4 linked regions of the Notamacropus eugenii genome follow. The protein of the gene in region 4 interacts with the protein of the main gene of each other region in a pairwise test. Links are inferred from orthologs where the notes say so. Each region holds a gene or a part of one and is shown on either strand. Other genes may lie near its edges. The genes, in order: NANOS2, PSMB10, AMPD2 and CCNDBP1.

The links.
Region 1: the proteins of CCNDBP1 (region 4) and NANOS2 interact in binary tests that used the Homo sapiens proteins (3 or more experiments, as listed by UniProt). The two-hybrid records come from large-scale screens. The link is inferred for Notamacropus eugenii from reciprocal best matches to the Homo sapiens genes CCNDBP1 and NANOS2.
Region 2: the proteins of CCNDBP1 (region 4) and PSMB10 interact in binary tests that used the Homo sapiens proteins (3 or more experiments, as listed by UniProt). The two-hybrid records come from large-scale screens. The link is inferred for Notamacropus eugenii from reciprocal best matches to the Homo sapiens genes CCNDBP1 and PSMB10.
Region 3: the proteins of CCNDBP1 (region 4) and AMPD2 interact in binary tests that used the Homo sapiens proteins (3 or more experiments, as listed by UniProt). The two-hybrid records come from large-scale screens. The link is inferred for Notamacropus eugenii from reciprocal best matches to the Homo sapiens genes CCNDBP1 and AMPD2.

What each region holds. Positions count from the first base shown.
Region 1 is NC_092876.1:27,901,539-27,908,106, reverse strand, and holds NANOS2 (nanos homolog 2), read left to right. Parts: upstream 1-4,164; 5' UTR 4,165-4,240; coding exon 4,241-4,644; intron 4,645-5,159; coding exon 5,160-5,166; 3' UTR 5,167-5,911; downstream 5,912-6,568. UniProt on the Homo sapiens protein: Plays a key role in the sexual differentiation of germ cells by promoting the male fate but suppressing the female fate. Represses the female fate pathways by suppressing meiosis, which in turn results in the promotion of the male fate.
Region 2 is NC_092872.1:696,332,792-696,340,541, reverse strand, and holds the start of PSMB10 (proteasome subunit beta type-10), read left to right. Parts: upstream 1-4,558; 5' UTR 4,559-4,940; coding exon 4,941-4,996; intron 4,997-5,323; coding exon 5,324-5,411; intron 5,412-5,560; coding exon 5,561-5,658; intron 5,659-6,010; coding exon 6,011-6,151; intron 6,152-6,338; coding exon 6,339-6,454; intron 6,455-7,223; coding exon 7,224-7,282; intron 7,283-7,750. Other genes in the region: LCAT (phosphatidylcholine-sterol acyltransferase), read left to right, coding at 1-255. UniProt on the Homo sapiens protein: The proteasome is a multicatalytic proteinase complex which is characterized by its ability to cleave peptides with Arg, Phe, Tyr, Leu, and Glu adjacent to the leaving group at neutral or slightly basic pH.
Region 3 is NC_092873.1:287,837,989-287,845,225, reverse strand, and holds the start of AMPD2 (AMP deaminase 2), read right to left. Parts: upstream 3,112-7,237; 5' UTR 2,011-3,111; coding exon 1,923-2,010; intron 1-1,922. UniProt on the Homo sapiens protein: AMP deaminase plays a critical role in energy metabolism. Catalyzes the deamination of AMP to IMP and plays an important role in the purine nucleotide cycle.
Region 4 is NC_092878.1:29,700,278-29,707,892, forward strand, and holds the start of CCNDBP1 (cyclin-D1-binding protein 1), read left to right. Parts: upstream 1-4,235; coding exon 4,236-4,584; coding exon of another isoform or gene 4,585-4,591; intron 4,592-4,700; coding exon 4,701-4,760; intron 4,761-4,964; coding exon 4,965-5,044; intron 5,045-6,292; coding exon 6,293-6,374; intron 6,375-6,668; coding exon 6,669-6,765; intron 6,766-6,932; coding exon 6,933-7,006; intron 7,007-7,615. Other genes in the region: TMEM62 (transmembrane protein 62), read left to right, coding at 3,493-3,825. UniProt on the Homo sapiens protein: May negatively regulate cell cycle progression. May act at least in part via inhibition of the cyclin-D1/CDK4 complex, thereby preventing phosphorylation of RB1 and blocking E2F-dependent transcription.

The sequences.
Region 1 (6,568 bases), on a different chromosome or scaffold from region 4:
TCTCTCCCACTGGGGGCTCCCACTTCAGGGCTGCGAACACAGGGCGGCGGCTCCCGTGAGTCCCCGAGGCCGGATGCACTTCCCCGTCCCCCCACGGAAACAAACCCCCTCTGGGGTTCAATAAACTTCTCTCCGGGGCTGGGACCCCCTCTGATTCCCAAATGTTTGTTTCCTCGGGCGTGAAGAGCTTTCGAGTGGGAGGGGGAGAGAGACGGGGATGGAGAGGCGTCTAACGTGGGTCGGGTCCTAACTGGGAAAGCCAGCGGGAGATACAGGTCCGGAGATAAGGAGGCGGGGGTCCGAGAGAGGAGGGGCTATCCAAGGGATTAGCCCTAGAGAAGAGGGAAGCCCAGGTTGGAAGAGTAGGAGTAGGGGCGGGGCCCATGAGGTACAGGTTTGGTTCTCCCGCCAGGCATTCGAGGATCAAGGATGGGGGCTATGGGATTCGAATTGGGAGAAGCCGGGTCCCTCAGGTCTCCTGAGGCGAGGCCCATTTTGACTGAGCCAGGAGCAAGAACTGGGGGCGGGGGCCGGGACGGAGGCGGGGGGCCGGCTTGGGGCAGTAGGTGGGAGCGGTAACTGTTAACCAGGCCTGGGACAGGAAGATCCCAAATGTAGCTAGCAGGTCCACCCCTACCCCAATTCCAATAAATATCCACTGGCCTCAATCCCGCCAGCTCCAGTCACAGAGCACTCAGCACAGAAGCCAGCAATGGCCAGTGTTACTGCACTCTCTTCCCTTCTTCTAGTTCTAACCTTTAGTCTCCTTTCTGTTTCTCCATCCTTCCAACCTTCATCCCTGTCGTTCAGTTTCTTAGTGAGGTGGAAGGAGCTCTAAACTGAATAGGAGTTCTGTCTGTCTCCCTGTGTAACCTTGGGTCACCCTCTCTCCCTCTTTCAGCTTGAGTTTCCCCCTCTTGTCAAGGGGAGGGGTTTCCTGCCTCACCTCCCTTAGAGGCCTGATGAGACTAGATGGACAGGTGTGTGTATGGGGCGGGGGTGGAAGGGGGGAGGAGTACTGAACTTCCGCTGTCCAAATAGAATGTTTTTATCTGAGAAGGGGGGTTAAGGGAGGCCGAAAATGAAGGCCGAAAGTGAGCCTAGAAACTGGATGTGGATCTTTGGCCTGAAGTCAAAGATTTTCGGGTTCAGATACCGTGAGAGTGTTAGAGCCGGTGTTATGGGGCTTAGGTCAGAGAATGTGGTGTGGATGTCAGAGTCCAACTGGCCCCTTCATTTTACTGATGGCCAAACTGAAATCCAGAAGAGGGGTGCCTGTGGGGGAAGAAGGGGCGGGAGGGATGCCAGTGTATGGTAGTCTAAGGGGGAGAAGGGGGAGCAGTCCCCTTGAAAACTCATGAATGCAAGGGCGGCATAGAGCTAGACCTGGTTTTGTCTCCCTCAGCTTTAACCCTTCCAGAGAAAAATTTTCCCAGTTTCTCTCACTTCTTTTTCTGCCCCTCCGCCTGTGTGTGTGGTTTTTTTTCCTCTTTGTCCTCATTTGAGGGTCATAGAATTTAAACCATCAGGTCGTCCAATTCCTCTAGGACTCTTATTTCCATCTCTAGTTCTGTCCCTATGTCTATTTCTCCATATTTTTTCCATTAATCTAAACCTCTCTCCATCTAGTTCAATCCAATTATCATGAATTAAGTTTAAGGCAATGAGGAGAGAGCCAAAATAAGTAGTTCTTGTTTCAAGTAGCTTACATTTTTTCCCATCTCCATTATCTGCCTTTCCATCTCTGTCTTCCTCCATCAACTTCTTTCCATTTATAACTTTTTTTCTCTTGTTTTGCTCTGTCTTTTTCTATATCTCTGTAACCTCATCTTTCAAACTAGTACCTCTGGTGTAAGGACTTGCTGAGGCTGGTCATTTGCCTTTGGTGTACACCTGTCACCCAACTCTCCCCTGTGACTCCAAGAAGCTGTAGCATATGCAGTGACCCACACCCATACAACCCTCTCAACAGATGAGCTAAACCAGAGTGAGGGTAACCTAGGGATCTCAAACCCATCAGTAAGTTAGGGGAATGACTACCCCAAGTAGGTGAACACTTCCCCTGGTAGAATTGCAAACAGTTTGTTCCAACAACCACAAAAGAGGAGGAAGCAGGCACTTAGAACTAGGTCAGGCATCAAAGATGCCAAGGTTGTCCACTGCATCTAGAATCACCGCCATCCTGACTTTTGTCCTGCCACTGAACTTGATGACTCAGGAAGACAGGTCGACGACTTTGTGCAGCTCTGTGTCACTTAAATCCAATTCATGCACCAGTCAAGACATCACCCCGTGATGTCACTGGTCCTCTTCAAAAGATAAAGGACAAACATCTTCCAAACTACTGTGTCTCTTTTCTCTTCCCCTCTAAGACCACAGATTTAAAACTAGAGAGAACCTTAGACACCATCTCAACAAAATCCTTAATTTTACCAAAAAAAAAAAAAAAGCCTAGATTTGTCTTTTAATCTGTGTATCTATCACCTTCCATCCCTTTCTCTGTCTTCGTATCTTTTTTTTTTTACTGTCTTCATTTTTCTCTGAATTTCTCACCTTCTGTACTTTGGTCCTTTTGTCATATAAACCTAAACCTGTTAGGTTTTCCTGTCTCTTCCTCTGTATTGGCTTGATCTTCTCTCTGTCTCTCTGTCTCTGTCTCTCTGTCTCTGTCTCTCTCTGTCTCTCTCTGTCTCTGTCTCTCTCTCTCTCTCTCTCTCTCTCTCTGTTTCCACACCTATCTTTCTATTCTGACCTGTTTCCTCTCCAGACTTTTTTCTGACTTGTTCTTTTTCTTTCCTCCCTGTTTGCTCTCAGGGCTTCACACCAACAATCTTTGAAGATGGGGGTGTTTTCCCCTTTCTTGGTGCTAAGCTTAGTGCTTGTGGACTGGCTGACGAACTTTTCTTCCAGGTAAAACCCAGAGTTGGGTCATTGAGTAGAGCTGAGTATCGCCTGTAATGGGGCCTGAAGTATCAGAACCAGGGCACTTGGAGCCCAAGACTGATCCCCAACATGGGCTGAAACCCAGTATTTCTGTCTTGGAGCACACTATGCCAATAATGATCCCATCTCCTGGGCTCCCCAGCTTGCCCAAGCAGAGATTCACTGATCTAGGGCTGTCGAGCTGAAGAGAAAGGCAAGGAGATGGAGATGGGAGACTGAGAGGCAGCCTCTTTCTTGCCTGACACCAAAGAAGACTGAAACTGACATAGATGGGAAGAACCCAAAAGGGAGGGGGAAACCCAGAGAGGCACCCCCAACCCTTCTATCATGACTGCTTCTGATTGGCTTAGGGAGGGAGTCAGGTTCAAGTAAACAAAGCTAGTAAATTTCTCATCAATTTCATCTTGTTTTCTTCTCCAAAGGTGTGTTTATGCGAAGAGCAAAAGGGATGAGGAGGGGGAGTCCCTAGGCTCATCCTGTGCCTGCATCCTTCCCTAGTAGGAAAGCGGGGAGGGGAGGACAGTGAAACCTGCCACACAATTTTTTCTAATTCTCACCATGACTTCCCACCCGCCTATAATGAAAGGAAATCCCACAATCATAGACAAAAAGATTAGAATCAGACTCAGGGGACAGAAAAACAGTAGCACTCATAAAACAACATAATTAGCAGAATCATTGCTGTGTGGCTTTAGGACAGAACTTGTACCTCTCTGGCTCTGTTTTCCCCTTCTTGTAAAATAAGTCAGAGTGGAAGATCTCTGGTTTTGCCTTTCATTACATGGGCAAATCCCACCCAGTAAGAGCCCTGGCTACTCCTTCTGTGACTCTGGACAAGCCCTTTCTCTCCCTTTGGGACTCCTCTCCCTCCAGCTCTGGTATTCAGTGTTATGAGGACCCTTATCATAGTGCTATTCCAGTAGACTGGAATTCCAAAAGATTGAGTTTAGTATAACCCTATGATGTCACAGGAAAGAAATCCCAAGCCCAGAGAGGGCAAGTGATTTGCCCAAGGTCACACAGCAAACTGGTTGTGCACCAGGAACTGAAACTCAGGCTCTCTCCCTCTCACCAGGTGTTCCCTTGCTGGGTCTCAGTGGGGGGTAGGGGTGGGGGCAGAGGAAGAGAGTGGGCCCTTTAAATTGAAAGCTCCTCCTTTGCCTTTGGAGGTCTCCAGCCACCCTATAAAAGGCACCCCCCTACCCTGCTTCCAACTCCACACTGCTCCAGACAGCAACGACCCTCCTGCCCCCACCCCTCTACCCCCTCAACAGTCTGCTGGCCACATCAGGCACCCATGCAGCTGCCGGCCCCTTTTGATATGTGGAAAGACTATTTGAATCTGAACAAGATCCTATGGGAGATAATCTCGGACCAAGGGGGTTCTGGGGGTGGGGAGAGGTCCAGCCAGGAGGTGGAGGCTGGGCAGGTGAGGCAGGAGGCAGCTGGGGGCCCAGGGGCTCCTATATCTCTCTGCAACTTCTGCAAACACAACGGGGAGTCCCGCCATGTGTACACCTCTCACCTGCTGAAGACTCCAGAGGGTGTGGTTGTCTGTCCCATCCTTCGCCATTACGTCTGCCCACTGTGTGGAGCCACTGGGGGCCTGGCCCACACCCTCAAGTACTGCCCTCTCAATGGTGGCCAGCAGTCCCTGTACCGACGGAGTGGACGAAACTCAGCCGGAAGAAAGGTCAAGCGGTGAGGAAAGATCTGGGCCTCCTCTTCTGGACCCTTCCAGGACCACCCCTCCAGGACTTCCCTGGGCCTTGCCCCATCCCAGCAATTTCTCTCTCCCTGGGGCTGGTTCTCCCAACCTCAGGGAATGCTCAGCTCCTGACACCTCCCAACTCCAAGTTGACCTTATCCCAGGGATATCTCAGCCCCTGGACATTCCCAATTCCCTGGGGGCTGGTCCCCTCTTCTCTCTCCAAGACCTTCCCTTAGACTCATCCTACCTTAGGGAGTTCTGAGTCCCTGAAACCCTGCCCCCATTCCCAGTTCAGTATGTCCTGGAGAATCTGCAGTCCTGGAACTCCCCCATTCCTGGATGACCCTGATCACCGGCCCCCTTGTCACACCCAACTAATCCCACACCCAGGATTTCTCAGTTCCTGGAATCCTCTACTCCCACTTTGTCTTAGCCCTGGGAAACCCTCCCCTCTGGATCTCCCCAACCCTTTCCCACTATCCCTGCTAACCCCCAAATTCCCTAGACATTAAGGAATCCTGAGGAGCCACAGACCTCTCAGCGTGAAGCATCCATGAGACCGAGACTGTACCAGCTTCTGTCTCCACCTGCCTGCACAGCCTGCCTTCGACATTTCCTTTGGCTACTGTCTCCGCCTTGAATGAAGACCCTCTCTACAGACCTCAGCACCCCAGCACTCAGCACATGCCCTTGAAGATTACCAGATGATGCCTCTCCTGTTGGGGCCCTTGCATAACACTTCTGAGTCTCAGGGGGTGACCAGCTCCTGGAGATGATGTTGGGGGGTCCCCAAATGCCTGGGTGTGCTCACTGCTGTCTCCCCACACACACACACCCTGGTCTAGCTCCAGAAGAATAGCTTGGCATAGGACTGGGGCTGGGGGATTGTAGGGGGGAAGAGAAAGACTTTCTTATATTGTTCTCGTGCATCTTTTTCTATATACAGTTGTTGGCTCCTGCAGCCCTACCTGCCTCCCTACCTGGGCCCCAGAGCACTCAGTGGGCAGTTCTGTCCCCCCACCCTGAAAAGCCCCCTCATTACCCAAGGGGAAAGTGGACTAGCTCTCTACAGTTTTCTGAAGCCTAGAAGGAGGAAGGCCTGATCAATGTAACTGGGGTGGGAATGAGAGGGGCTGCTGAGGATTGGAAGTTCTTCAATAATGTTTTTTAGGGGATGGAGGGAAGAAGCCAAAATAAGCAGATTTTATGTTGTTGATTTTTGTTCAGAGCTGGAATAAATGACCAGAATTCTTGAAATTTCTTCTCATTGTGTTTTTCTGGAAGGGTTAAGGAGAAAGTAAAACCATCTTCCCCTAGAACCAGGGTCACCCCAAGTCACACCAATCTGTCCTCCCTCTTCAGTGACTTTTGCCTTCCCCCTCCCCCAAATCCCTGTCTCCTCATCTTGGGTCTTCATTTGTCCACACTCAGCACAGGCTCCCAGGCCCCAGACTTCCTTCTCTACAATCAAGCTTGGACCCCATCCCTCAGGGACCTTGCCTGACTCCCTGAATCTCAGACTTGAAAGGCCCCCGTGGTAACTGGCTCATGTGTCTCTGGTAAAGAATTCCCACTCCAATATATCAGATGGTCACCAAGCTTTTACTTGGGGACTTCAGGGAGGGGCTGCCCATCTAGCTCTGGTTAAATATGAATATTAGGGGGGGTATTTATGACCACTAAACCAAAATATGCCTCGCTGCAATGAGTTTGCCGTTCTTGGGGAGGAATGAGGCAGAGTGAGCCTTTGTTGGTTATGTTGCAGTACAGTTCTTCTAGGGGAAAAGTTCTCCAACTTTTGGGACTTACCACCCTTTCACATTCTTAAAAATTATCGAGGGTCCCTCCTGAAGAGCCTTTGATTCTGACGGTTATATCTACAAATGGTGACTGTATTACAAACTAAGATGTCTT
Region 2 (7,750 bases), on a different chromosome or scaffold from region 4:
CAGCAATCCCAGCCAGTCCACGTATTTCCAGTCCCAGGCCTAGAGCATCTCAACATGGTCTTCAACAACCAGACATTGGACTATATCAACTCCATCCTGTTGGGTACCTATCGAACAAAAGCTCCCAACAACTCCCACCCAGACTCCACCCCCTCCAATGACTCCCATCCAGACCCTGCCCCCTCCAAGGACTCCCGCTTGGCTTCGACCCCCAGAAACAGAAAAGGTCACAGACCACAGATGAGGGGCCAGTAGTCTGCTCCAGATAGCCAGAAGGGCAGATGGCACCACATCCCTCCAAAGCTTGGCTCTGCTCCTGACTTTGGGCCCCTTCTGCCACAGACCCTGCCTGGGGTTGAGAGACATCAGATGACATGAATAAAAACCTCTTCTTTGAAGGCCAGCTCTGGAGTGACTAGGGAGGAAAAAGAGTCTGACTCTGAAAGTGGGAGGAGGAGAACGATAATAAACATTTATTAAGCATGTATTGTGTGCAGAGCACTGTGATAGGCAACGGGGGATGAGGAAGAGAGAGAAGGTTTAGGTGGGAAAGGATTCCTGTGGTTTTTATAGTCATATAGGAAGATAAGACAGGTATATCTATGAAACAATATTACATGATAAGTGTATTGACATATGTAAAACTAAGTGATATCCAGCTTCTAACCTCACCACATGATTGGAAATGCATGCTATAAAAGTTGTCACAATGTTCAATGTCAAGATCTAATGTTTTCTTTTTTTGTAGCCCTCATCCTTCATCAGTTTTCTGCAGCCTTCTACACTGAAGCCCTCCATCCCTGTGATTCTGAACCACCAATTTCATAAGAATAAACCTCCACAACCTCAATTATCTGCACCCTCATTCCCATCCTCACTCAGAACTACCAAAACCTAAACATTGACCAAGTGAGGCTTGAGCTGGGACCTTTTGTTGTCAGTCAGTGAGAGCCAGAGTGATTTGGGTTTAAGGCACAGTCATGTAGCTCCATTTGAATCCCGATAGACTTTATCAAAGCCTGGTTTTCTAGTGCTGTATTTTAAGAAATCTGAAACTACACAGATGAAACTACATGGGGCAAAAGAATTAATTGTCCCAGTTTTGGTTTTCCTCTCCCAGATTGATTTTTTTGTTTGTTTGTTTGAGTAGGTAAAAGAGGCCATTCTTTGCCTCATTTCTTACCTAGCCTTAATCACTGAATGGGTGTTGCCTCAGACAAACTGAGACCTGGGAAAGACTGGAGCTTAAAAGGGCCAAGGCCTCACAGTGCATCCAGGGCCATCTTCAGTTATCCTGATCTATATCTGGCCACTGGACTCAGAGGGCTCCAGAGGAGAAAGTGAGGCTGGTAACTTTGCACAGCCCTGCCTCACTTAAATCCAATTCACTTGCATGTCCTGGCATCACTTTCCTGATGTCATTGGTCCTCTTCAAGAATGAAGGAAAAACAACAGTCTCATTCACTTCAACTCTCCCCTCCCAGTGTCCTATTCTAGAGCTGCTTGCCCTTTCCATCATGCTCTCTATGGAATTTTTGTCCATGATTCACAAACTTCCTTTCATCTTAAACTTTTTCTCTTGCCATCTTCTAGCTCTCCCTGAGACCTGACTCCTTCTGTATGTCCCTGCATCTCTGACCACCTTTTCAGTACTGATTTCACTCTCTCTCTTACCCCCAGACTCACTGGTCATGGTAAAGAATCAAAATATTCCTTGCTCCCAAATGCCACTTCCAGATTTTCTATCACAATCACTCAAGGAACCTCTTCATCCTTGAAGTTTGTTCAATCAAAATGTATTACCCAATCAAGATTCTGGTAGCCATTATCTATCAATCCCCAAGACATTCTCCCTCCTTTCTAAATGAGTTCAGTACCTGGTTCATGGCCTCCCTGCTTTATTTCTAGGACACTTCATCATACATTTTTAAAATTCAATTTCATTTTATTTTCAGTTCTGAATTCTCTCTCCCACTCTCTCATTCATTGAGAAACCAAGAAAAATAAAACTCATTACAAATGTACATAATCATGCAAAACTAATTCTTGCATTAACTATGTCCAAGATTTTAAAAAGGAAGGAAAAGAACATATGTTTCCATCTGCATTCAGAGTCCACCAGCTCTCAGACTGGAAGTGGATAGCATGTTTAATCATGAGTCCTTTGGTATCATGGTTGATCAGTTACTAAGCCTTTCACAGTTTACGTTCTTTACACTAGTGCTGTTACTGTGTAAATTGTTCTGGTTCTCATTTCATTTTTTAAAGTAATTATATATTTTTCAAAATACAACACCTATTCTTATTAAAAATAATAGAAAGCATAGGAATAAATGGAGTCTTTTTTGCAATAATAAGTACCTATCTAAAATGAAAAGCAAGCATTATCTGTAATGGGGATAAGCTAGAAGTCTTTCTGATGAGATCAGGGGTAAGGCAAGGATGTCCCCAGGAATGAATATAATTCAATATTGTATCAGAATTACTAGCTATAGCTACCAAATAAGAAAAGGAAATGGAAGGACTAAAAACAGACAATGAGGAAATAAAGCTGTAACTCCTTGCAGATGATCATGACGCTATATTTAGAGAATCAACTAAAAAACTAGTTGAAACAATTAACAACTTTAGCAAAGTTGCAGAATATAAAATAAACCCACATAAATTATTAGCATGTCTATATGTTATTAATAAAACCAAGCAGAAGGAGACAGAACAATGCCACTTAGAATAACTATAGACACTGTAGTTATACTTGGGAGCCTACCTGCCAATACAGCGTTGTACATGAGCACAATTACAAAACACTTTTTACACAAATGAAGACAAATATAAACAATTAGAAAATATTCATTGTTTATGGGTGGATTGACCCAATATAATAAAAATGACAATTCTACCTAAATTAATTTACCTATCCAGTGCCAAGCCAAACTACCAAAGAATTGTTGTATAGAGCAAGGAAAAACAGTAACTAAATTAATCAGGAAGAACAAAAGGTAAGAATAACCAGGGCATCAGTGAAAAAAATGTGAAGGATGGGGGCCTAGCAGTACCAGATTCAAACTGTACTACAAAGTGGTTTTCATATTGGAGGTGGGGGCAGTTTTCTTCACAGGTTGGAAGCTGTAGGGACTCCCATTAGCCATTTAAGAGATCTCACCTTCTCTGGAATTCGCCTTGATCTTCTGAGTTTCCCCTGCCAAGTCATGTCTCCCTGATGTATGCCACACTACAGCGTCATCCTTCAGGAAACCACACGAGCCTACTTTGGGCAGGGGTGTCACAAAGGTAATGGTTCTTCTAAAACTGAATAAGCAACGGTTGTCTGATCTATCAGTTAACCTGGGAGAAAGAGGTTTCCATTAAGTGGTGCCACAGGAAGCCAGACCACAAAGGGGCAAAGTCAGCTAGTAAAGGCAACAAGTATAGACATCTTTTTCTAGCACTTAGCTGAGACAGGTGGATGAGAGTTAGGCCAGTGGTTTGAGGGGATAATAAAGCTAAGTAAAGGTTTTTTTCTCAAGCTAGTGGAGATGTGGGCATGTCCATAGTGGTGTGGGGGAAGTCAGTAATAAAGAGAGAGTGAAGATGAGAGTGAGAGAAGAGGGAGAGGAGGGGAGGAGGCAGGGAGAGAGAGGCAGAGAGGCAGAGGGAGAGGGAGAGAGAGAGAGAGATGGAAAGAGAGAGGGACGGGGAGAGAGAGAGAGAGAGGGACAGGGAGAGAGAGAGAGAAAGGGAGAGAGAGAGGGAGAGGGAGAGGGAGAGATGGAGAGAGGGGTAAGCCACTTTTCCTTAGTGATTTTTACTCTCTCAAGTGGTTTGAGGACATAGAAGATCAGTCAGGTGTCACAGTGGACAGGCACTGGACTAGGCTTCAGGAAGACCTGAGTTCAAATGTCCCCTTGGATAACAGCTGTGTGACTCTAGGCAAGTCTTTTAACTTCAGTTTCCTCCCCTATAAATGGGAATAATAATGGCACCTACCTCTCCTTGTAAACCTTAAAATTATATATATACACACACACACACACACACACACACACACACACACCCATACCCATACCTATGTATATATGTGTGTACACATGTACATATATATGGATATACGCAAGTTATTTTAATTATCACCAGGATGGATCCGAAGGAAGCATCCCAGTTTGAACAATCTGAGACCACTGATCTCCCCAGTGACGTCTCCTGAGGAGGATGTAACTAACAGTCACTGACTGTGCTCTCTGTCCCTGTGGGAACATACACTGTTTCCATCCTGACTCCTAGATTCAGCTTCATTGTACTTAGGACCAATATCAATGCTTGATGGAGAAGGGGGCAGAGAAGGGGAAGGGGAATGAACATTTGGACAGGATAAGAATCTTAGACCGTCTGAGGCAGAAGGGACCTCAGAGATCAGTTTTAACCCCTCATTTTCAGATAAGGAGAGAGGCAAGATTAGTTCTCCTAAGGCCACCCTGTGAGTCATTAGCATAACCAATGAAGGGCAGAGCTACCTCCCAGGGTCACCAATCGCAGCAGGGGCTCCTCTGTCCCCTCTCTCGAAAAGTCCTCAGTAATGGTGGCAGGGGTAAATAGGAAGCAGGGAGCGCCTGTGTTTACTGTTTCTTCACTAGGGATGGAATGTGGGGAAAGGGAAAGGGTGGGGAGGGGAGGATGCCCCAGAAGAGCTCAGGCAGCCTCCCTGCTTCCCACCTTCCTCCACCCCCCTACCCCAATCCCCGCCCCTCCTCCTGCAGTAGCTAAGGTGAAAGTGAAAGCTGAAGTTACAAGAAAAGGAAGCGTCCAAATCAGCCACACAAAGTCCCCTCGAGGTCCTGCAGGAGCCCCCACCCCAGCACCTCCCTGCCCCCTCCTGACCTCCCCAGCCTGTCTAGCCTCTTTGGCACACCTGCGGAGTGCCTCACGTCCACCCAGCTCAGACCATGCTGCACTCTGCCTGTGAGCCCCAGGGGGGCTTCTCCTTCGAAAACTGCCAGAGGTAAGAGGAAGCCCGGCTGACACGAGGGGCCTGGCCCAGGATTGGGGAGCGGAGAGGTTAGGCTGTCCCTGATCCCCCTCTCTGAAGACTTTGAAGTTCTGGGAATGGAAAAGAAAAGTGAAACTAGCTAAATGGGGGAGGGGATGGGGGAACTCTTGAGGGGCCTGATGAAATTCGTAGATGAAAGGTCTGGGAGCAGAGGGAAGGAGGAAAGCCATGAAGAATCCTAAACTGGACAGAAAGGGCATATGTTCAAGGAGCTAGAAAGACCCCTCTGGTGTGGTTCCTGGCTCCAGAGTGTCTTTTCTTCCTTTTCCCACACCCCAGAAATGCATTTCTGGAATCTTCCCTAAAAGGACTCCATGTTCCCCATGCCCGTAAAACTGGTACCACCATCGCTGGCCTCGTGTTTCAGGTGAGGGGGCGGGGGGAGATGGGTCGGGAATGAGAGGGACAGATCAGCTGGTGGGGGGCGGTGGGTGAGGGGATTGATTTTGGGGGAAGTGTAGAGATGGGGCTAGTAGGGTACTGAGGTCTGGAACTAAGCCCTGACCTCTCTTCTAGGAGGGAGTCATCCTTGGGTCAGACACCCGGGCCACCGACGATTCGGTTGTGGTCGATAAGAACTGTGAAAAAATCCACTTCATCGCCCCCAACATCTAGTGAGTCACCTTTCCTATCTCACCTCCCTGCCCAACATCTCCCCCATATATCCCCAGCTACCTCCTCCTTAGTACACAGGAATTAGAGCTGGAGGGAGCCATCATTAGGCCAACCCTCTTATTCTACTCAGGAAACTGAGTGCACAGGGGAGGAAATGAGCTATTGGCAGAACTGATTAAAAAACAAACAAACAAATAAACAAGACCTCTGGTTCCAAACTCAATGCTTTCTCCATAATTCCTACTAGTTGACCTTTTGCTCCAGCCTTCACCCCCCAGACCACCCCAACCCTAGTCTAGCTTGACCCTCTCCTCTACAAGTCTCTTTCTCTAATGCTGACTCTCCCCTCAGCTGCTGTGGGGCAGGAGTGGCAGCAGATGCAGAGATGACCACACAGATAATGGCGTCCAACATGGAACTACATGCTTTGTCCACCGGCCGGAAACCACGGGTGGCCACTGTCTCACGAATGCTCCGCCAGATGCTCTTCCGGTGCAGTGGGAGCTGGGGAGGGGAGGTTAAAAAGAATTTGAGAGATCTGGGAAGGAGGCAGATGGAGTGCATCCTTGGGATGGGGACAAGAAGATAAATGGGGTGGGAGGCAAGAGCTGGAGGGAGATGGGGCTGGCTTGGGGACCCTGGGCGTGGAGAGAGGAAATGATGAGATTTCTCCCTACAGCTACCAGGGCCATATTGGGGCCTCCCTCATTGTAGGGGGAGTGGATATCACAGGCCCCCATCTCTACAGCGTACATCCCCATGGCTCTTACAGCCATCTCCTTTTCACTGCTATGGGTGAGTCCCTGACCCCTAATCAGACAGACGTCCTCCCACCCCCAGACTCACAGAGTCACAGGATGTTGGTTAGAAAACACCCAGAGGCCACCTAGTCCATATCCTGATTTTATAGTGAGAAAACTGAGGCTCAGAGACCTTGGGAAATTGGCCCAAGGTCACATAAAAAGTAAAAAGAAAAGTCAAGACAAATCCAGGGCCTCCAACTTCAACTCTTCACTTTTCTTCCTTAGACAGGACACCAATGATTGTTGGGAAGGGTTTCTTTCCATTCATTCTAAATCTGCTCCAATGTAACTTCCATGGCTAGGTAGCACAATGAAGACAGTCATTAGACTTGGAGTCAGGAATCCTTGTCTCACTAGTTGGGTGACCTAGGCAAGTGACTTGCCCAGCCTCACCTGGCCTTGGTTTCCTCATCTATAGAGATGGGTTAATTAATAGCACCTTATTTCACAGGGTTAATGTGAGGATCCAAGTGAGATACTGCGTGCTTTCTGAACTTTAGTGCTACATAAATACTAGCTATTATTAATAATTAATATTATTACTAATTATTAATAGCCCAGACCTCTGAGACCAAATGTCCCCAAGGATATTCACCCACTCCACCCTTCACCCCCCTTCCAATAAATAGCCCTCCCAGTCCTGTGTGTATGTGGCAGCAGGAGATGTGTCTTAAGGAATTGTGGAAAGGGGAGAAAGCTGAGGGAGGTTGCCTAGGACCTAACAATGCTCACTACTGCTGTCCTCCCTCACCTTCCAAAAGGCTCTGGACAGGGACCGGCCATTTCTGTGCTAGAGGATCGCTTCAAACCAAATATGACGGTGAGAGCCCCCTTCCCCCATCCTGCCCCTGACCCACCTTTCTCGTCCTCCCCCCATCTCAGCTTCTTCCTGTCTTCTCATTCCTCTCTACCCATCGTTGTGCTGAAACCAGCTTCCTTTCCGGTGGGGAACAGTTTGGTGCCATCTGCACTATGTGTGCAGAATGGTTTTCTTATTGCAAGCCCATCAAAGACAAGTCCCTGGGCCTGGCTGAGAACCTGGGGGCTGCGCTGAGCTCAGGACCCCGTCTACCGCCTCCCCTTTTCTGTAAATGAGCTGAGAGGTAGACTCCTCCTCGGCCTGGAAATGAGAATGCCTTAGGGAGCTAATGAGTGGGAAAGCACAGAACAGCTTAGAAATGTGAAGAGAAGGCAGCCTGCTCCTAAGGTGTAAAACACCGCCAACCTTAAAGTGTTTGTGTGTGTTCCCCATTAGATTGGAGAGAGTGGGAGAACTGTAGATGGACTA
Region 3 (7,237 bases), on a different chromosome or scaffold from region 4:
AACGCTCCAGTTCAAATCCGACCTCTGAGACTTACTAGCTATGTGACCCTGGGCAAATCACTTAGCCTGCCTCCATTTCCCCATCCGTAAAGTGGGGGTGATAATAGCAACTGTTGTGGGTATAAAACAGCTTATTTGTAAAGCACTATAAATGGTAACTACTAATGAATGCAAATTGGCAATCTGAGAGTCTACGTGAGCTATTGAAGTTTCTTCCCCAGGGTGAAAAAAAAAAATAAGGAGAAGAGATTGTATAGAATACAAGCTGTACCACAGGCAAACAGCAACCCTGGCCTTCTGGGACACCCAGCTGTCTCCAGAAATCCTGGCCCCTATCCTGAGAGTTTGCTATTAATTAGGCAACCCTGCCTATTTAAACCTCACAGGCAGCCTCTTCTCTCCACTGAGAAATTAAGTCAGATAAAATCTGGTTGGATCTGAAACCAAGCCACTGCAAAAGACTTCCTTGGACACACCTCTTGACCCAGCAAGATGGAGCCCCCAACAGCCGTCTGCCCTTCAGGTCGGTTTCCTGACCAGGCCTCTTCCCAAGGCTTTGTACTTCTTACCAACTCAGCAAGCTGACAGGTCTATACCTGAGTTTCCCAAAGATATCAGGGTGGGGAAAAAGCTGTACCCTACTACCACACAGAGTTGGCACAAACCTAGTGACCTGTGGGGGCTCAAACATAGGCAGCATCCCCTCCTGGCTGAGCAGATGTAAGCCCCCCACCCCAGGGAGCCAGATAACCCCAATGGTGGTGCAGTCCTGAGCATCCCTAGAGGTAGGTCATTCCTGGCAGAGGATCCCTGAGGGTCAGCGCATCCACGGCAAGGACATCAATCTGAGCATTCCTGCTGGGCCTCAACACCTCAAAGCACCCTTTGGGGTGCAGGGCCCTCAGTCAACACCATGATGACCATCAATTATATGGACCAGGACATTCCTGAAGATAGTACATTCAACCATGGGATAAGAGCAAGCAGCTCTTTGTTGGGGACAGGGGGATCCTCAGCAAACTTGTGAATATAAGTAAACGTATCCACTATATGCAGCAATGTGGGCACCAAAGTGGGAGGCCAGCCAGGAACCTCTCGGCAATGCCACAGACACAGGAATCCCTTGGTCACCTTCCCTGAATGGTGCAATGTGCCTGCCGGGGCAGGAACAGGAACAAGAGAAGATAGAAAAAGGCTGTCTGCTGAAAGCCAGCATGCTCACATGTACACACATGTATGTTCACACATGTATGTTCACAGACTCAGGGGAACCCTCAGGGGTGACTGATCCCACCCTCACATACAGGAACATTCTTCCAGGGTCACAGGCAGATGTTCCAAGGGTCATCAAGCCCATGAGCACAGAGACATCGTTACAGGCACGCCCCGAGACAGAACAGTTAAAAACAGATGGACATGCAACCAACACATCCTCCTCCAGTCCCCTTGGAATCCAGAATGGAAGCTGGGGGACACAGGGGTTCACGGAAAGGTAGGCTATGAGGAAGAAAAAGCACAAGGGCCTCACCACCTCCCAGTGTGGCAAGCCCTTGCAGCTCAAATACACGGGCACATCCCATTCATTCACACACTCCACGCTGTTTGGGACACTTCCACAACCAGACAGATGCACGTGTGTACACGCACAAATCCCAGGATGTTCTTCCTACACGTAAATACCGGTGCAAAGAAAGGTTCCTCGGCAGGACAGGGTTCAGAACCAAACACAGCACCAGCAAACAAAAAAGTCCCTCTCCCTTCTCCAGGGATAGCTCTCTAAAGGCCTCCCACTGTCCCGGAACCACCTTGGCCCCCACCCTCATCACCCCCTCGCCACTGGGCACTGGGAATGCCCCCTGTGGGGTGGGCCAGCCGCGTATCTGGCCAGGAGCCGGGGGCTGGCCTGGGGGCCCCAGACTCACCTGGGGCATTGGCTACCTGCAGACTGGCCCGCTTCTTAAAGGGGTATTTGGCCTTGGGCTTCCCTGGTGACGCCGGGGAGGATGCCATGGCTGTGGCCTCGGCTGGCAGACGGGACCCGGCTCCGCCACATCCAAGCCCTTCCTCCGCCCCGCCTCTCCTCTCCTCCGCCCGCCCCCGACGGGGAGTGACTGAGGCAGGAAGCTAAGCCCAGCCCGGCCCGGCGGCGGAAGAGGCCCAGGCCAGGATTTCTACGGTTGCCAAGGCAACCCGAGAGCGCCCTGCCAGCGCGCCCCCCTCCCTCCCAGACCCAAGCCCCTGGGATGGCGCAACTGACGTCTAGCCGGGGGAGGAAAAGGAGAGGAGGGAGGCTGGGGGGGGAGCTGGGGAAGCCAGGGCCATCCGGAGCCCCCCGACCTCGGCCACGTGCTTAGAACTCGGTCCCTTCGCCGCAGTCGGGTCGGATCCGCGGATCTTCCCCGGCGAGGCTGGGCCGGTTCTCACTGCGGGTAACCAGAGGGCCGATGCCTGGCCACGTGGGCACAAGTCCGTCCGGAGCTGGGCCCTTCCTTGGGTGGGTGGGTTTCACTTTCATTTTGTTTTCCTTGGGGGTGGGGGAGGAGGATTCTGGGACATCTGCCCCGTCGGGGAAGGACCGGGGGCGGGGGGCACCTCATGCAGCTCGGTTTCCCGGAGGAGGGGAGGCGGCCTGGGCTGAGTGCCCCTCGGTGCTTCGGGCCCGGAGCCCCCCACCACCGCCTCCTTCACTAGTCCGGCTCCTCCCCGCCCGGACCTGGAGCTCACCACGTGGGGGAAGGGGACGCCCCCTCCCCCGGCCCTGGGAACCGAGCCAGCCCCCTCCTCCCGAGGCTGCGGCTGCACGAACCTCACAACCCGGTGTCGGGGAACTCTGGGTTCTTAAAAAATGTTGGTAACGATATTTCAAAAATTAAATTTAATAAAAATTACCCCCAAAATTATTTCCTTTGAGATGCTTTGTGTTTGTTAGTCCCGTAAGACCGCGAGCTTCCTGGGTCGCCCTTCCACGATGGAGGGGGGCCCGGGGTCCCACCTAAGCGCGGAGGCGGGATGCGAGCGCGGCGGCCCCAAGCTCACCCCCGCCCCCTCCCCCCCGGAGGGCAGAGGCAGGAGGCAGGGGCGGCGGGAGGCAGGGGCAGGACCCAACCGGGCTAACCCCGGGCCCACGCGCCGGCCCCGCCGTTACCACACTCACCTGCTGCCATGCCGGCGGGGAAGGCGGGAGGAGGAGCTGCCCGGGGGTCGGGGCCCACAGCGGGGGATCGCGGGGGCGGGCGGAGCACGTGCTGCCCGCGGAGCTGGGGACCTGGGCCTACCCCGGAACTGGCCGAGAACCGGACTTTTCCCTCCGCCGCCCGCGGACTCCGACCCGGGCTGGGGGCGGGGCAGAAGCGGAGAACCGCCAAAAACAAAAACGAAAAAGCCCCAAAGCTGCCCCGGCTCCGGCCCCCGCCCCAGCCCGCCTCCCTCTGGACTAGGGTCACGTGGGCTGCTCTCGGACCCGGAGCGGGCGGGGCCGGCTCTCGGGGGATACTCTCGGGAGTCCGTCCCCAGCCTCAGTGAAAGGAGGGGGAGGACCGATGATGTGCCGAGCCACGTCCGGCTGCAAGCGCGGGCCGGGCACCCCCCGCCAGAGGCCCGGAGGCCCGGAGGCCCGCGCTCCCGAGCCGGGCCTTCCCTAGACACGCCCAGGTCCGGCCGCCCGCGAGGATGAGCGGAGCCGCCCCCCGGGGAGCAGAAGCCCCCAGCACGCCCCCTTTGCGGCTGGGGAAGGGTCCGGGGCAGAGGCTGGTGCCAGTTTTGCCAGTCCTGCCGCCACCCCAGCCGTCTTGTCAGCGCAGACTTCCGGGCCCTGGGCGGGGTCAGGTAGAAGTCCCACGGTCTTCCAGGGAAAGGACTCGGGTGTGAGTGCGGGTGGGAGCGGACTGTTCTCTTCTTTCTCCTCTTTGTGGAGAATACGGCAGTATGTCTGATAGGGTGGTACACATGTACAGCCTACACCAGGTTGCTTGCCATCTTGGGGAAGGGAGGGGGGGAGAGGGAGAAAAAACTTGCCACTCAAAATCTTGTAAAGTGAATTGTTTTTTGGGAGGGGGAAGTCAAGGCAGTCGGAGTTAAGGGACTTGCCCAAGGTCACACAGCTATGAAAACTATCTTTACATGTAAGGAAAAAATAAAATACTATTGGGGGAAAATAAATAAAGGGTTTTTTTTAAGTAAAAAGGTCATTTGTCCAAGATGCTGCAGGGAGGATTCAGATGAAGTGATTATCAGACTTCTAAATAAACCACACAGATGAGCGCATAGTGGCTGTTTGTCCTTCTGTTTTGGAGAGGTGATACCTTGACCTGTGTGTGAACTGGATAGAGAGCAGGCAGAGTTAAACCAAGTCCTCAGCCTTACTCCAGTGGTAGGACAAAAGTCAAGAAGACTGGTAACGTGGCTGACCCTGGAGTCTTTGAGGGCTGACCACGTTCTAACTGCTCCACAGGAGCTGCTTCAGCCACCTTCCTAGCTGTTGAAACATTGTCCTCATTCTGCAGGGGGATCTTCACCATCCCGCTAACTCCAGTACCTTTGAGGTCTGTCAGTTAGCTTCAACCTTGTTTAGCCCTTCTGCCAAGTCAGTGTACCAGGGTATGACTACTGTGCAAGCTACAGCTTCTTGGAGCAACTGGTGAGAAGTGTATGAACCAGGTAGACCCAAAAGGTAGATAAGCACCCCTGAAAAGGACTCAGCAAATCCTCACCCCAGAGATGCTGTCAGGCCTCCTGGAATACCCCATACATCCCCCAAACATGCATAGTAGGCATTCATTGAATTTTTCACCGAATAACTGAATCCAAGAGTTGGAACGGACCTCAGAATCCACAGTCAGATCCATAATGCAACAAGAATCCTTTCTACAACATTCTAAATGATTACCCACTTCTGTTTGAAGGAGGCAGGCTTCTACTTGAAACTCTCCATGAAAGGAAACCCATTATACCTCCATAAGTACCCATTCCAGTATTTTATATCTGTAATTGTTAGAAGATCTCACTTGGCCCCTCATTCTGTGTATTAGTGCCAAGCCAGCCTTTCAAATACTTGAAGATTGACATCATGTCTATTAGCTGTCTACCTAATACTAAGGTCTTGTCTCCAAGTTAAACATTCCCGGTTCCTTAGATTGATCCTTCATGAACTGAAGGTCCCTCATCATCCTAGTGGGATGTTCAGTTCCTACAGTACTCTGAATATGGCCTGATCAGGAAAGGCATAAGATAGGGTCTAGACTTACTTTATTGGTTATAGGAAACTTCCAGATGAGGAAACACCTTCTACAATGCAAGGTCAGCACTTTCTGGACAACTTACATACAGTCTTAGAGAGTGCACTGAAAGGTTGTTGACTCCTCTAGGGTCACACATTCTGCAAAACAACCATTACCTCTTGTTCTGTTCACAGCCTAGGTGATTGAGAACATCCTTGGAGCTAAAAGCATTAGTTTTTTGGGTTTCCATGTCACACTATTAATTTCCTTTGTGGAATGAACAAATGGACTCAGTGACCCTGTAATTTTAGACGCACTTATCACTGGCAGTAATGATAACTGCTACTAACAAAAACCACTCTTTTTCAGTTTCTGTAGCAACCATAGACCTTTGCAATACCCTCCCCCCACCCCCAAACACAGTTGGGTTACTAATTTGTTTCCAGATCGATTTTAACTCCACCCTCTTCTCACCTGCCCCTACTGACAGTTGTTCAGGTTCTGGCCAACTGTGTGTTGTTACTTTCAACAAACATCCATTCCCTCAAATTCTGTCCCTAATCCTACCCTTAGCTCAATTTCTCTTTAGGACAAATTTTTATAGCCATGGGCTCCAGGGTCCCCACATCTGCCTTAAAGTAAGCAGTGCTTAATTTGGGAACTCATCAGGGCAGGGTGGCACTGGGGCAAGAGCACTGGGTAGTGAATCAGGAGGGTTGGGTTCAAGTCCTCATTATTATATTAACTTGTTTTTTAAATTTAATTTTATTTTATTCTGAACCAAGAAGTAAAACAAGCATAGTAGAATATGAAAAGAAGGTTGTACATGAAACAGCAAACCTATCACATACAACTTACTATTTCTTTTAAATAGTTAATAAAGTTGTCATGTAACTCTTTTTCTTTTTTTTCCATTTTCTTCCCTTCCCCTTAGCTACCATCAGTCATTCTATACATATTCTATTTACCAGTTGTTTCTCTAGAGGTAGACAGCATCCTTTTTAAAAATTTCACATATATATATATTAATCAGCACCTAACCCAACTTAATAACTAAAGAAAAATGAGCCCCATTACAAACACATAGAGTCAATCAAAATAAATGTCCATATTAGCCATATCCAAAAACAAAATTTATCTCATTCTGCACCTTGAGTCCTTCACCTGGTCTATCCAACCTTTTTTGTATAAATGTTTACTTGTGCACCTTAACTATATGAGATAACTTTCCTTTCCCTTCTCCCTCCCAGTGTATTCCTGTTCCCCTTCCATTTCTCATAGTTCTCATGTCTTTTCTAATTTTTTCCTCAAGCACTCTCATTTCATTTATAAAAACATTTTTTCATTTTTCTTTTTAAATTCCTTTCATTCCTTCTAAGAATTCTGGTTTAAGTTTGTGCCCAAGCTGAGTTTTCCCTTGGCCTTGCTTGTAGATGTGGCCACTTTCCTATGGATATACTCCTGTATGTAAATACCCTGAGATTAGATTTTTTTCCCCTCCCTCCCTCTATTTCCCCCCTCCCTCCCCACTCCCTCCCTGAGACTTCTGGAGGGAAGGTCTTGGCTGGTCTTGTTGCTTCTTTTTTGTGGTATTGAGTGTTATTATTCCAGGATCTCAGGAACAGACCGGGGACCTGCAAACTTTCAGAGTTTCCAAAGTGGTCTAGTCCAGGGCAAAGTTCTGGACTGTCCACCTCATCTGGGTTCTACAAGCTCCCAAGCCTGGGTTTCAGGCTGAATAGTAGAATGGAGATGGCCAGCTGGGTAGTTCTGCTGATTCAGAGTGACAGAACTGCAGGATCCCCTTTGGTCCAGATGTCCTGCCCTGGTTATCCTTCTGCAGTGATGGATGGGAGCTCAATGACATTGCTTCCTGTCACTCCACCACCGTGGCCCCATCCCTCCCTTTATTCACTTTTATTAACCTGGACTAAGCCAACGTCACTTCCCTGGGCCTCAGTGTTTCTTTATCTGTAAACTGAAGTGTTTAGACTAGATCATTTCCAGGGCAGTTTCTAGCT
Region 4 (7,615 bases):
CACCTCATCTATTACACAAGTGTACTAATCTCAAAACATGTCAGATTTTGAACTCACAAAGAGCTCGGCAAACATGGGGTGTTCTTGAAGAGAAACTATCTGTGTACAGGTCTCCCACCCTTCCTGTAGCACTGCCACCACGCAATTCTGTGTGTTCTGAGATTCCTCCTGGTCAAACAATCCTGCCCACCTCTACCCCCCCTCCTTGCTGGCCAAGAAAAACAACTTTGCCATGAGCACTGGGGCAAGGGAAAGGAGGATGAGCATTCATTGTGCATCTGCTATGTGCCAGGCACTATGCTGTGATCTTCACAAATATGTCATTTGATCCTTGCAACAACCCTTTGAGTTAGGTGGTATTATAATACCCATTTTATAGTTGAGGAAGCCAAGGCAGACAGAAGTTAAGTGACCTGCCCAGGGTCACATAGCTAGTTAAGTGCCTGAGGTAGGATCTGAACTCAGGTCTTCTGACAGTACACTTTAATTTTCTCTAAATTGCTTCCTTATCTAGGCCAGTAGCACTACCAATGAAAAGCAGTTGCTACATATTCACGATCTTTTTTTAAGGGAAAAAAAGTTAAGAAATAAAATTTACTGATATTTTAAAATTGAAAAGTTACAAAAGTTAAATTTTATTTGGAAATCTGTGGGATATAAGTTACATTGGGATAATAATGGTTGTGCTAAAAACCTGCACCTATCTATGATATATAATTATTTTTACTATTATTTAAAATAATATCTTATTACTATCTTTTGTTTTTTAAAAATTTTGGATGTATTCTACCATACAAGTACAAAATACACCTCTCTTATAACAAGGGGAAATAGTTGAGGCCAAAAAAAAAAACTAAACCCCAAAGGCCAAATACAAAAACTCAAACCCAGTACAGGGACTACCTCCAACAATGTATGCAAATTTTCTGTTCTTCCTTTAAAGTACTCCTGCAGAGGGAGGTATGTTTCACTATCTGTTCTCTGGGACTATTATTGACTTTTTAGTTACTCAAAGTTTGGCTTCCTTTTAGAAGCACTATTATTATTAAAGAAGTTATGCATCTATAAAGAAAGTCTTTGAAGATAAATACTCTCCAGGGAGGAAAGGATTCACCTCAGATAGGGAATGACTGGTTCCTTAGTCCCATTATCTCTTCCTCTTTTCTGTATTCTCTTTATGGGGCATATTGAACCAGAAAAGGCATTTTAGTGGTTCTTAGATAATAGGAGCCACTAGATATTTGAACCTTAAAGGTAATAATGAAGGTTGCTGAAGCAAACACCAACCAACACATAAAGCTTATACAGAAATATTATCCAGAAAGCAGACGGAACTCTTCCTCCTCTTAGTTTCTGTACTTTCCTTTTCCATGCCTAAGCTCATCCATTACCTAAGAATGAAGAGAAAATAAAAACATTTAGATGTACAAATGTTACCTTAATGTGACCCAGGGGACTGAGAGACCAAGGGGCATTACAGTGAAATGGAAAATTTAAGTCACAACGCTATTTGGAGATAGATGTGTGTACATGGGAAATATGTAAAGTAATTCATTACATTTTTACTCGTTAAAGTATTATTTCATTGAATGACATCAAAAACAAGCCTAGAAGTTCTCAGGCCTGAAGCTATCCTTGACCCTTTTTTCTTCCTCAGTTCACATAGCCAGTCAGTTGCTTTTCAGTCATATCTGACTCTTTGTGACCCCCATTTGGGGTTTTCTTTTTTTGTTGTTTGTTTGTTTATTAATTTTTAGTTTTCAACATTCATTTCCACATGATTTTGAGTTCCAAATTTTCTCTCAATCTCTTCCCTCCCCCCACCTCAAATGCTATGCATTCTGATTACCCCTTCCCCCAGTCTGCCCTCCCTTTTATCATCCCCCTTCCTGTCGACTTTCCAGCTGGTCTTGGTCTGGAGATTTGTTTTTCTCTGTCATTTTGTGGGTTCCAAAGCTCTAGAATTTGTTTAAAGTCATTTTTTTTAAAACAGGTATTTGGAGGGCTTTGTAGGAATAGTTCAAGCAAGTCCCTGCTTTTACTCCGCCATCTTGGCTTCATCCCTCCATCTGGGGTTTTCTTGGCAAAGATACTGGAGTAGTTTGCCATTTCCTTTTCCAGCTCATTTGACAGATAAGGAAACTGAGGCAAACAAGTCTAAGTGACTTGTCACACAGCTAATAAGTGTCTGAGCCCAGATTTGACCGCAGGAAGATGAGTCTTCCTGAATCCATGCCTGGTGCCACTGTACCACCTAGTTGCCCCAATCAGTTAAATCTTATTTCATAAATCCATCTATTTCTGTCTACTCATACAATCTGTACCCATATTACCTCTTAGACTAGTAAAAGTAGTCTCTAATTATTCTTCCTGCCTCATTCCACCCCACCCCCATCTCTTCTACAATCCAACCTCTACATACAGCTGCCATATTGATATTCATAGAACAGATTAGATCATATTTTCCTGCCTCCCTCTAGTTAATAAAGTCTTCATCTTTAGCCTGGCATTTAAAATCCTCCACAATCTGACTCCCACCTTTTTTCCATCTTATTTCATATTTCATATTACTCCCCTTAAGTATTTTCTGTTCTGGTGAAATTGGCCTTCTATACCAGAGGTGGGAAACCAGTGGCCTTGAGGCCAGATTCTGTTTTCAAAGGTCCGCACTCGAGGACCTAGAGGGCCACATGTGGCTTTGAGGCCACAGGTTCCCTACTCCTGCTACACATAACATTCTATCTCCTAACTGAGCTCTTGCATAACTTATAATAGCTGACATTTTCATAGTAAATGGCATCTATCCTCTCATTTGACCCTCATAACAACCTTGCGTGAGAGGTTCTGTTTACTATCCACATTTTACAAATGAGAAAACTAGAGCTAAGAGGGGTTAAGTGGATTGCTCAGGGTCCGAAATGGTGCCTATCTGAGGAGGGATTTAAACCCTTGGGGTCCACCACTACCTTCAAGGCCACGTGGCCTGGCCTCCCTTTCACCTCCACCTTGTACAGTCCCTACCTGCCTCCCTGGTGCCCTCTCCTAAATGAGGTCTCTCCCCTTGGCAAACTCCTGGAGGGCAAGAATGCTGCCTCCCTATGCATGTCCAACCTGGCATGGTGCCGGGCACGTGGTGGGCACGTAACCTCTCAGTCCCAGGGCACGTTCCCTGCTGCTGTCAGAATGAAGATCCTGCGGGTTTGGTTGCCTTGGTGAGAATTCAGATGATGAACGTGTGATGATGAAAACAGAATTTGGTGTGAAAGGATTTTCTAGTTCACAGAGAAAAGCAGTTTTCTTATTGGCGAAGTGACCAACCCTGATCCTCTCTGCTGACGGAGCGCTCGGGCCTGGTGAGTGTCTGGGCCGGCACCAGGCCTGCGGCACGTGCGGGGCAGCCCGTCCAGTCCTCGGTGACACTCCCGGGAGATAAGCCGGACTCTGCCCGGGGCCGTTCGCCAGACCGCTGGTAATCCTTGTTTCCTTTTCCAGATCTTTACAGTGATCATACCCCTCTCCGCCTACCTGTGCTGGACGCTGCTGCTGCGCTGCCAGGGCCACACCTTCTCCACTCACCTGCGGGGCAGATACCTCAAGGCCGTGCCCGGCCACGCGCTCGCGGGGCTCTTCTACCTCTGCCACCTGGGCTGCTGCGTCCTGCTCTGGAAGGCCTACGGCACCACGGCGCTCGTCTTCTCCCCCACGTACGGCTGGCTGGCGCTGCTGGCCCCCATCCTCGTTCGTCTGGCCTGGACCCTGAGCCCCAGGGAGCTCAGAGCCTTCGCCGTGGAGCTGCGAAGCCACCAGGGCCCCGACAGGCAGTGACCCAAAGGCCGCCGCGAGCGGCCGAGCGTGGGCCTGCCCGGCCGCGGCCCTCCGGAGGCCGACCGGGCGGCGGGTCCCGCTGCGGCTGGGGCGGCCGGCGGGCTGGTTCCCTCAGAGCGAGTCTCCAAACGTGGCCCCGATTAATGCTGTGCTTGCTGATTCTGCTGCTTACCCCATGGAAGCAAAGCCATGAACTGAACTGTGGAATGGAAATGCCGCACCGGGAGGGCGCCTTCCGGGGGAGGCCGGGAGCGGGATCGGGGGTGCGGGGCTCGGACCCGAGGCCCTTCCGGCCGCGTCGGGCCCACCCCGGCGCCCGCCCCACGTGGCTTGTAGATGGTTTAATTGAACTTCCGGTTTTCTAGGCTCTCCGCCTCCACTGGAGGGACTGTTTAAAACTAATCAAATAAATGAATAAGCTGTTTGCGGTCCAGAGCTCTATCTCGGTCGAGGGGCGGAGACAAGGGGGAGGGAGAACACCCATTGGTCACCGGGCACCTCAGACACGCCCACCGTCCGGTAGCGGGAGGCGGAGCCGGCTCCTCAGTCTGTTGCCGGAAGCGGGCAGAGAGCGCCGGAAGTTGAGGTCTAGGGCTTCCGTTCCGGAAGTTGCAGGCGGTTTACGGGAGCGCCGACTGAGCGGCTGCTGGTGCTGTGAAGCTCGGCGCGATGGATCTCGGGGCGGCGGGACCGAGCCCGGAGGAGCCCGTGGCGCAGCTGCGGAGGCTCATCGGGGTGCTGCGCTCCTTACTGCCGCGGGTGCGGGGTGAGGGCCTGGGCTGCGGCGGGAGGGGCCCGGGGCGGGGGCCGGGGCCGGGGCCGGAGTCCGGGCCCCTTCTTTCCCTTCTCTCACGAGCCGCCCCGTCCCTCCGCAGACGGCGAGGCCCGGAAGACCGCGGAGGCGTTCGATGCGCACAGATTTTGGGACCAGCTCGGTGAGTGAGGCCCGCCTCTGGCGTTTGGGAGGGTCCGCAGCTCCCTCCTGGGCGCCGGGACACCGCGGCCCGGGAGACGGGAGGGCAACCGGAGCCGGGGGCGGCGGCCCGGGAGGGTGGGGATATGGGCCGCGGCCCAGCCCGGACCCGTGCCCCTTCTCGGCGCCCGCCGCCGCCTCCCCCATCGAGCCTTTCCTCCCCCAGGCCAGAGGGCCTTGGCCGTGTCCCAGGAAGCCACGAAGCTGAGCCTGGCCTTCGCGAGACCGCCCCTGCCTTCCCCCGAGGTGGGTTTGCCCCGGGCCCGTGGGCCGCCCCTTTTCTCTTCCCCTGCTTTTGTCTAGAACCAAAGGCAGCTGAGCCCCCAGGTTTCTACCGAGCCAGGTACCCCAGGTGGGGTAAGGTTATCCGCAAGCTTCCCCTGCTGTTCGTTTCCATGAAAGGAAGTCTGTGCATAGACTGTAGTCTATAAGTATGTATGTATGCATATACATATACACACGTACACATGGACACACACATCAAGATTCGATATATCTGTTTTTTTCCACTTTCACCTCACCTGCAGTGATGAACTTGTCCAAGTCTGCCCCTTTCATGCCAGCAGTAAGTTGAAATGATGGATAGGAAAGTGCCTGAGTTCCCTGGATAAAAAGCAGACCATAAATACAGGATAATGATAGTGGGGTTTTTCCCCCCAAAAATTTCCTCTTTCTAAAATTTTTATAGCGTACTTGGAAAATCCTAGAGACATCATGAATTAACAGTGTAACATCATTTTATGTAGATATCTATATAGCAAATATGGATATTCATTTCAGTGTTTTTCTTCACTCCAGGGTGAAAAGTAAAAGTAGGATTTAGTTTCCAGTCGATTTTAATGCTACGTCTCCATATAGTTTACAGTGTTATGTGTGCGTGCCTGTTCTCTAATCATAATTTGTTTGGATGTATAAGCTTCTAGAAGTCTGGAACGTTTTTAACTTAAATCCCTTTATTTATAGGAACTTAACAAAATAGACTCGAAAATTGTGTTCTGAAATCACAACGTGTTAAGCATATGGGGAAGAGGAGAAAGAAATGTGTTTTAGTCTGATATTTTTTTATTGCTTAATATGAACTGAGTGCTAAAGTGAAAGAATTATAGCACTGAATTAATTTTGTGCGTATAGAATTAAGAGCAGGAGATCACTGAAAGACTCACTGTAGGAAAATAGACGTGAGGAGTATTAGATCTCTTCTAGTAACCCTCTGGTTTAAGTTGGGATTCCCCAAAAGTAGGCTGTCCAAAATTTTGGTGTGTGTGATTCAGAGTAGGTTCTCAGCATCCTGAAACAGTGTTAACTCTTTCTCTTTCATACAATAGATATTTTGTTGACTGGGGTGTATGGGTGTTCAGTATCCAAACCCTGGATAGTATTGAGTAGGTGATCAGTAAATGCTTGATAGATAATGATGAAGTTCTCTAGGGCAGTTGCTTTTCATCATGTCACTCTTAATTTCCTCATTTTGGAATGGATCTGTGTTTTTTGTAGGACTGCAGGAAACTCTGTGAAAGTATCCAGAATGCTGTGTTGGCAGAGGTTTCTACATACTACTGGCTTCCCAAAGATCAAGGTAACCTGCTTTGCACACGTAGATACTTAAGTATTCAAGATATAATTTTTGAATGAGTGAGTGAAAGCTCTAGCAGGATTCTTGTGCCGGATCTCTTTTGGGCAGAACACTATTACCTTTCTAGTCAGAAAACTACAAATTAATGGGATTGATGAGCAGTAGGAAGGACAAGGCAGGTCATTTGTGAAGTGTAGGTACTGCCTGCTACCCTGCAGCGTATAGACTATCTGCTCAAAGAAAACGATTTCTCCCTGAAAGACCTCTAGGATGCTTAAAATTTGGCTTTGGTTGCAGGCATCACATTACGAAAAATGGTTCGAGATACCATTGTGGATGTAGTGGAGGGGATGGCCCAGCTTGCAGAGGTGATCGTCAGAGCTCGACCTCAATGGTAATGACCTAGTTCTAGTTGTTACTTTGTGGGACTCATAGTGCCTGGGAAGGAAGGAAAACCCCTGTGAATTTTCTTTTGGGCATCAGGATGGGTCAGTCAGGAAGGATACTTTTTAGGAGATAGGGATTTGAGTTGTTGATATCCTCATTGTTTTTGCTCTTTAGCATATCACACGAGTATCTAATATCAACTGGCAGTATCTGGGAAACATGTGACCAGGTGTCTCACCTCCCAAAAGGTGAGTGAGGTAGTGGGAGGTGTGGTGATGATTGTATTCAGCTATATGAGAGGGAATGGGTGCTTTTCACATCTCACTTCCAGTTTTGTAGCATTCATAATGTAATCCAGATTTAACAAGTAAGAGACTTTTAAAAAATTAGCTGTCACTGCTGAAAGTTAGAAAAAGGAGATTTGATGTTACTGTCTTCTCAATTATTATTCCTTTCTCAATGCCCCAAATTACCCTCTCCCTTCTGTGCAAATTCCATTAGGGAATTTTAATATTTGTTGAATATTTGGGGTACATGTACCTAGTTTTACTCATAGTGTTAGGAACACTGCTGAAATAGTCATTAGATAGAGCCAGGTGTTTCTGATGGGACACTCTTGGAATAAGTGATTTCCAAATGGACCCTGATTTAAGCATTTTAGTTCTTCTTGGGACTTTATTTTTATACTGAAAAGGGAGGGTATCAGTGGAAAACGTTTTACGTTCAAACTCCATAAAACCTTTTGTTAAATACTTCTCTGTACAAAGCCCTCTGCTCAGTGGGGGTGGAAGCAAGATATAAAGATTACATAAGACAGGGCTCTTATCCTCATGGAATTTACAGTTAAGTAGGAGAAT